2 linked regions of the Lonchura striata genome follow. The protein of the gene in region 2 purifies or fractionates together with the protein of the main gene of each other region. This does not show direct contact. Links are inferred from orthologs where the notes say so. Each region holds a gene or a part of one and is shown on either strand. Other genes may lie near its edges. The genes, in order: CDK19 and MED16.

Evidence for each region.
Region 1: the proteins of MED16 (region 2) and CDK19 purify together in Homo sapiens (affinity purification with mass spectrometry; 6 studies listed by BioGRID and IntAct, counting the BioPlex papers as one, with this or other methods). This does not show direct contact. The link is inferred for Lonchura striata from reciprocal best matches to the Homo sapiens genes MED16 and CDK19.

Annotation. Positions count from the first base shown.
Region 1 is NC_134605.1:68,779,329-68,783,235, reverse strand, and holds the start of CDK19 (cyclin-dependent kinase 19), read right to left. Parts: upstream 2,644-3,907; 5' UTR 2,541-2,643; coding exon 2,413-2,540; intron 1-2,412.
Region 2 is NC_134630.1:4,456,230-4,460,136, forward strand, and holds the start of MED16 (mediator of RNA polymerase II transcription subunit 16), read right to left. Parts: upstream 2,983-3,907; 5' UTR 2,963-2,982; intron 2,935-2,962; exon of another isoform or gene 2,826-2,934; intron 2,678-2,825; 5' UTR 2,590-2,677; coding exon 2,454-2,589; intron 2,111-2,453; coding exon 2,003-2,110; intron 1,744-2,002; coding exon 1,574-1,743; intron 1,070-1,573; coding exon 638-1,069; intron 1-637. UniProt on the Homo sapiens protein: Component of the Mediator complex, a coactivator involved in the regulated transcription of nearly all RNA polymerase II-dependent genes.

The sequences.
Region 1 (3,907 bases), on a different chromosome or scaffold from region 2:
GAATATATACTTTAGCTAGGAGTTTACATAAGGAAATTATCTCATATTAATGGCTTTAGTTGTTTTCTAATATTTTCCTAAATTGTTCACATATTACTTTCACCCAATGATCTAAATTTACACAAGAGCAACTAAGAGTGAACTCACCAATGCCATAAAATTAATATAAAGAAAAAAGAGAAAAAATAAGTCACTTTCAAACTTCATGAAGTAAAGCCTCTGAGTATATAGTACAGTTGAATTTGTGCCATGTTATATTATATGTCAATCTATCTGACAGCACTGAAACTTTGCACTTCCTTTTACCAGTTAGTTGTCTTACAGCTCAAGGTCTCCCTTTGATTATTCCCAGCTCTGACACATTAGCTATCTTTTTATCATATTTACTTTTGCTTTACTACCCATTTGCATTTGTCATATCATTAGGGATTTTGAAGACATGTTCTTTATGGTGCTTTGTAGCAGCAATATAATTCCTGTGATGGCTTTCCTTTCAGATGATGGAAAGGAAAAATGTCTGACTTTAACTTACTCCGAATTTCTTTCTTTCTTGAAACAGTAAATCCAAGTGCTGCCGTTTTTTATGCTGTTCATACAAGCAGCAATTTTAGGCTTACTATATCAAAGAACAGCAACAGACATCTAACTAGCATTTTTGGTGGTTTTGTTACTGCTTCCTTTCCTTATTACCACTTTCCTCCTATCCCATGTATGTTTTACATATATATATATAAATTAATAATTAGGAAAAAGAAGCAACCAGGATCACTTAACTCAAAAATATTGGAAGAGCTCAGTGGCACTGTAATACCTGGAAAAGCTTTGATATTTCAAGTTAGTTACGCTCTAGTATTCCTAAGGTTGCAGAGCAAGCTAGTCAGAATCAGAGCTCATTTCTGGGTAGTTAATCCTTCACTGGAATTAGTGTCTACCTTTCAGTTATTAATCACTTTTATACTACAACCTCCTAATTCAGAGTTTAAATTTTCACGACACACAAGAATGCCATTTAATCCTACAGAAGAATCCCTAGACTTCTCTACTAATCTAAAGCAGCAGCATTCCATTAACCACTTCCAAAATTTTAAATAAAAGTTGTCATTTTTCCACGTTCAGTCTCTTCTTTTTCAAAGTTTCCATTGGCTATAATGGAAGGCTATTCCCTTTAACATTCTGACAGAAAGGAATCACCTGTAATTCACAGGTATATTTTATCCAACCTTACAGTATGCTTAGAACACTCTGAAAACACAGCCTGGGTTTGTGCACCAGGCACACATCACAGTGAAAAAGTGCTCAATGGCTCTTCTGAAAGCAAATTATTCCATTTGGAACCCACACCTGCACAAAGCCTTGCTCAGGCCTCAGGACTGCTCCCCTTTAACAACTGTATGCCAGTCAAACAATCTCAAATTGCAACCCTACCTCCCCACTGCTCTCTTAACCACAATACTGTGAAAACAGCATCCATGGAATACTTATCCCATGATACTGGCTTTCCCCAAAGAAGAGAATAAACCTTGCTTAGCCAACATACATGGGCTTAACGCCTAAAGGACTCTCTGTATAAAGCCACCAGCCAAGTGTTTAGGGACAGGGACTTGTATCCTGCTCTTTCATGGGAAACTGATGGAGACACACCTGTGCATTGGTACTGGACAGAAGCCACCAGCTCTGCCTACAAGGAGCATCCCGGACAGGCCATCAAGCCAAGCTTGCCCGGCACTGGCACCAGCAGGGTGCCTGGGGCTGGGGACACACCAGGGACCAACACACAGGGAGGGAGCAGCCGGGGAGGGGCCGTCGGGAGCCAGGTGCTCCTCCCTTCTCAATCCCCTGCCAGTAATCGGAACAGACCGTCAAATTACGAACGCGGTCACACAAAAGACGAAAGCGACGACCTGAAACACGGCGTGCAAAGCAAAGGCGACCCCAGGGCACAGCCTGCTGACACCGCACCACCAGGGATGGCGGGGGGAAAACGGGGCAGAGCGGGACGAGCTTTAGGTTGAACATTAGGTAGGACTGCTTACATAGAGGGTGATTAGACATTGGAATGAGCCGCCCAGAGAGGTGGTGGAATCTCCGTCTCTGGAGGTGTTTAAGGAAAAACTGGATGTGGCACTCGGTGCCACGGTATAGCTGAACATGGTGATGTACGGTCACAGGGTGGGCTCGATGATCTCAGAGGTTTCTTCCAGATAACCGATTCCGTCGCTCTGAGCAGCCGGGCAGCGGCGCCGGGGCCGGGGCAGGGGGCCCGCTCCCGGCGCGGGGCGGGCGCTACCCGGGCGGGCTCCGCGCTCCGGCCCCCGCGCTGCCAGAAACTTTCCGAGGAGGGAGGGAGGGAGGGGAGGGCGCTGGTGCGGGGGGATGGGGGGGTTGGAAGGGGGTTCTCGGCGCGGCCCTTACCCGTCCTTGCGGCGGGCCTTGTAGACGTGCCCGTAGGTGCCTCTGCCCACCTTGCATCCCTCGTACTCGAACAGGTCCTCCACCCGCTCGCGCTCGGCCGCCAGCTTCGACTTGAACTCGTAGTCCATGTCTCGCCCATGGGCGGGGAGGGACGGGCGGGCAGGGGGACGCGGCGGCCGGATCAGCAGCCGCAGCTGGCGGAGCCCCCTCCCGGCGCCGCCATGTCCGGGGCTCGGCGGGGGCGGCGGGCGAGGGGGACGGGGGGCCGGTTTGTTTTTGTTTTGGTTTGGGGCTTTTCGGCGGGGGGGAGGGGGCGCGCTCCGCCGCCGCCACCCGCTTCAACTGGGCTCCTCGCGGCGCGGCGCGCGAGGTGCCGGGAGTCGTAGTGCGGCTGCGGGAGCCGGCCCCGCCGCCGCAGGCAGGACGCCGTAGCGGCAGAACTACAACTCCCGGCATGCCTCGGGCCACCCCGGCCGGGCGGCGTCGGCGCACTGCCCTCTCCGGAGACACCGGAGCGTTTCAGCGGCCGCTGGGAACTTGCTGACTCTTCACATTGCGCGCACAGGCGGGAGCGGCGAGCACAGCCGGACGCGGCGCCTCTGGCTGGCAGGGAGAGATGGAGGGAGGAACAGAGGAGCAGACAGTGCACACGCACCCATGCTGCGGGGCGCCGAACAGTGCGGCGACTTGTTTATCTCGCCAGCTGCCATTCACGGTCCGGCCCCGCCTCCCTGCGGGATGCTGCCCTGTGATTGGTCAGTGCTGCCCCGCCGTGCGGCGGGCGGGGCCGGGCCCGGCCGGCTCCAGGGCTTGGCGCTGCGGGTCCATGTTGGAAACGGGAATCCTGCTAGGATTCGCGTCGTTAGGTGCTGCTAAATAAACCGGTCGCTTACAGAAATACGGGGGTACATACTGTGTTTGCGCTCGGATAGAAGCCAGGCGTATTGCTGCGTCTTTATGATCCGATGCCGTAGCAAGGCTGTGCCCCTTCAGCCCCGAGCAGAGAGATTTTTAGATAAACGCGGCGCTGCTTTGGGGTTCAGATTTCGTCAAAGCACTTTGAGATCACAGAAACATTCAGGCCTTTTAATGTTATGTCTTGGTCTCTCGAAGATCTTTTTTTGTGAAAAGCACCAGTCTGCAATCTTACTTGCATTATGGAAGTGCCAGGCAGAGGCAACTGTACGAAGAGTCACACAGAATCACAGAGTCAGTCAGGCTGGAAAAGACCTCTGAGAGCGAATCCAGTCCATGACCAAACACCACCATATCAACTACAGGCCGTGGCGCTAAGTGCCATGTCCGTTCTTTCCCTAAATATCTCCAGAGATGGTGACTCCACCACCTCTCCAGGCATTCCATTCCAAAATCTAATGACCCTGTCTGTAAAGAAATTCTTCCTCATGTCCAGCATAAGCCCCCAGTGGAGCAGCTTGAGATGATCTCCTCTCATCCCGTCACCTGTTGTCTGGGAGAAGAGGCTGACCCGCACCTA
Region 2 (3,907 bases):
CCTCGTGCTCTCAGGCGTAGCACGTGGCTGGGCTTAGGAGGACGGGGGAGGGGAGAGAGAAACGGAGGGTTTAGGAGAGGGGAAGCCCCAGGGAGAGAGGAAGTCCAAGAGGGGAGGAGAGGGCCAAGAGGCCGCATGGCCGCTCAGAGCCCCCTTATTAGGGGCTCCCAGGTGGGCTGGGACAAGGTATGGGCCAATGGGGTTACAGACTCTGTTTTAGGGGCAGGTACAGAGGTGCGGGATGAACCACAATTTTTTGCAGGGTGGGATGGAACAGTCCATTTCACTCCAGGATTCATCCAAGGGTAGAAGTGACATCCGGCTAGCTAAAATAACAATCATATCTATCTATCCTCTGCAACAGGCTGGAACAAGACTTGGGCCAATGGGGTTACAGACACCTGATGTTTTAGGGGAGGGTTACAGGTGTGGGGTGAACCGTACATTTTGGGGGGTGAGATGGAACAGTCCACTTGACCCCTGGACCCATCTGTAGGCAGGGACATTGTCCGGCTAGCAGGGAGGACCGTTCTCATCTTGGCTGTATTATTTATGAATAATTACATTTATCTATCCAACAGCTGGCCACCCCAGACCCTGTGAGGAAGACCAGGTGGAGCAGAGAGCAGCTTCCCACCTGCTCTGACATGTCCCGAGCCAGGAACTTCAGGTGGGTGATGGCCGGGTACTTGTCCTTGCGCGCGGGGTCGGTGGTGCAGCGCATGAAGAGGGAGGGCAGGATCTCGGTGTCGATCTTGCACTTCTCGTTCACCACGCTGACACACACCTTGTAGAACTGCACGGGGGACGTGCTGCTGCCGTCGGACGTGGCCACCACGATGTTGCCCCCGCCCGTGAAGGCGACGTCGGCCAAGGCCACGCGGCAGCGCAGGCGGCACAGGCTCTCGGTGGCCGTCAGCACCTGCCCGTTGGGCTTGAGGAGGGACACGGTGACCAGCCCGCTGATGGTCACAGCAATCCAGCCCTCCATGGGCTTCCCCCCAAACAGCGTCAGCGACGGGGAGAATTTCACCCGCGAGAACTTCTCGCCGAAGTTCGAGGCTCCGGACTGTAACAAAGGTCAGCAAAACCAAAGTGTTTGCGGCCAAAATTTGTGCCTGCGGGGCTCTTCTCGAGGGACAGGGGCAGGATTTATGTGGGACATCCCCAACACAAGCAGGGAACTTGTGCTCGGCAGCTTTGGGCTTTCAGAGTCTGCAGGATCACACATGAGGAGCTGAGGTCTGTGCACAAATGCCCAGATCAAACCTCAGCACTCCATATGCATTTTCTCTGAATCACCACAGGTGAGGAAAGAACTGCTCTATCTCCGTGTTCCTGCCTAGAAATGAGGTACCAAACTAGGAGAGACACACCTGAAACACCAAAAGAAACAAGGCTCCAACCCCCCTCAGAACTCAGCAGGAACCAGGAATCTGACTTCTCTCTGACTGCAAAAATTCCCCAAGGCCACAAGAGAGCCCAGAGCACGGAACACAGGCAGGATCCTGAGTTCTCTGCCAAGACCTGAGCCAGAGCTCCAGCCCAGATCCCCCACGGAGCTGAGACAAACCTTCTCCACGTGCAGAGCCAGCTTGACGCCGTTGTGCAGCCAGGACAGGGCCACCACCGGGTCCCCCTCCACCACGCTGCCCACCGTGTTCTCCCAGCTGTTGGCCAGGTGATCTGTCATGCCCCAGCACTTGATGTGGCCATCAGCATCTGCTGAGAGCAGCCTGGAGCCTGTGACAGTGACACTGCATGAGAATGGGGGAGAATGGACAAAACCCCACAAGGAATTACAGCCTGTGACAGTGACACTGCATGAGAATGGGGGAACAGAGAAAACCCCACAAGGAATTGCAGCCTGGAGCCTGTGACAGTGACACTGCATGAGAATGGGGGAAACAGCCAAAACCCCACAAGGAATCACAGCCCACCCCTTGGGGACATACACAGCAGGGGTGGGACACGGTGCCAATGTGGAGGGAGCCCAGCCCACCTGACTGATCCCACTCCAAACAGGTGATGACTTCGGTGTGGCCCGAGTTCACAGAGTAGACATCCCAGGGGTGCTCGGTGTCGATGATATGGACCATGTGGGTGAGATCTGTGTGAACAGAGAAGTGACTCCCTGTGCCTTGGCACTGCTCCTGAGCCTCAGCTGGTGCAGGGAAAATATAAAATATTTTATAGAAATCATTTGGGGCAGGGTAGCAACTCTGCTGGGAGCTCAGTGAGGAGCCAGCATGGTGTAGATTTGGGAAGTCGGTGCTGGTTTAGAGGAAACAAACGCGTGTGAGACGCTGCCAGAGGCTGAGGGATAGAAGGAAAAGGAGGAGCAGCAGCCCGGAACTGCCCGGGGCAGGGCAGAGCTGCGGCCCGGCGGATCCTGGCCTCTCCCGGGAGCACCGGGAGCTGCCAGCAGGGATTTCCCGAGGGGCTCCCGGTACCTTTCTCCTCTTCATTGCGGAGGTCCGTGGTGAAGGCGATGAGGTTGCGGCAGGACCAGGCGCACACCAGCGGGATGGAGGGGCAGTGGTTGCTTTTGGGCTTCTTCTCCCACTCGCACACGTAGGCCAGATCCATCCCACCGGGACACGGTACACCGGACACGGTACACCGGACACGGTACACTGGACACGGGATACTGGACACGGGACAGCCTCGGTCCTGCCTGGGGGCGACACAAGGCCGGTCACACACAGGGAATCCCAACCTCAGGGGCCATGGGGGGGGGCACAGCCCTGGGGACACGGGTGGGAACAGCCCCGCACCGGGACAAACCGCGGCGGTCCCGGGGGGAGCGGCCCGCGGGTACCGACCGTACGGCGGGCAGGAGGATCGTCCCCCCTCGCCGGGGACGGTCCCGGAGGTTCCGGGGGGTCGCGGGGAGGCCGCGGGAGGCTCCCGGCCCGTTCCCGGCCCGTTCCCGGTCCGTTCCCGGTCCCGCCGCCCTCACCGGCGCCCGCCGCTCTGCAGGACCCCGGCCCGCCCGCGGGCTGCCCGGCCCGCGCCTGCGCCGCGCGCTCAGGCACTGCCACAGACACCCCCGCAGAGAGAGCCATCCAGCAGGGTATAATTACCATAACAAACTACCCACAATGCATCGGGCAGAGATAGCAAACATAACCGGCGAATTTCGGACAATTTGGGGAAAATCCAAGAAAATAACAGAGAAAAAAACTGAGAAACACTTGGGAAGCTCATTCCGCGTCTAATATTGGGCCGCACCTCATTCACCCTATCATGACAATATTATTTCTGTGAGTCTTTAAATAGCGCTGCGGGTGCAGGGCAGTTCGTGCTCGCTTCGGCAGCACATATACTAAAATTGGAACGATACAGAGAAGATTAGCATGGCCCCTGCGCAAGGATGACACGCAAATTCGTGAAGCGTTCCATATTTTTCGCACCTCCCCGCACCCACATTTTCCATCCCGTGCCCCACCAGCTGCTCCGCCACCCCCCAAAAACCTCCCTCCTCCCCCTCCCCACATGGAGACACAGAGCCGGAGTAGGGGAGCACCGTTTTTATTGTTTCTGAACGCCACACCAGCCAAGGAGGAGCGAGGGGCGCCCCTGGCTCTGGGGGTGCCCACGAGGGGTTCCCCAGGCTCTGGGGGTGCCCACGGTTAATGGCAGTCGGTGTCATCATGCTGGGGCAAAGCAGCCAGCAAAGATCCCCAGGGCACGCCCTGCCCCGAGCAAACCTTGGCACATGCCACGAAGCCGGGGGGCACACAGAGAGACCCCCAGAATGCCCCCATCTGCCCCCATGGCAGCTGTGGAAAAGCAGAGAGAGCCCCGAAAGGGGCTGCACCCCTCCAACACGCACGCACGCACGCACACACACACACACACACATGTAAATATACACACACGTGATAAAAAACACACAAGCTAT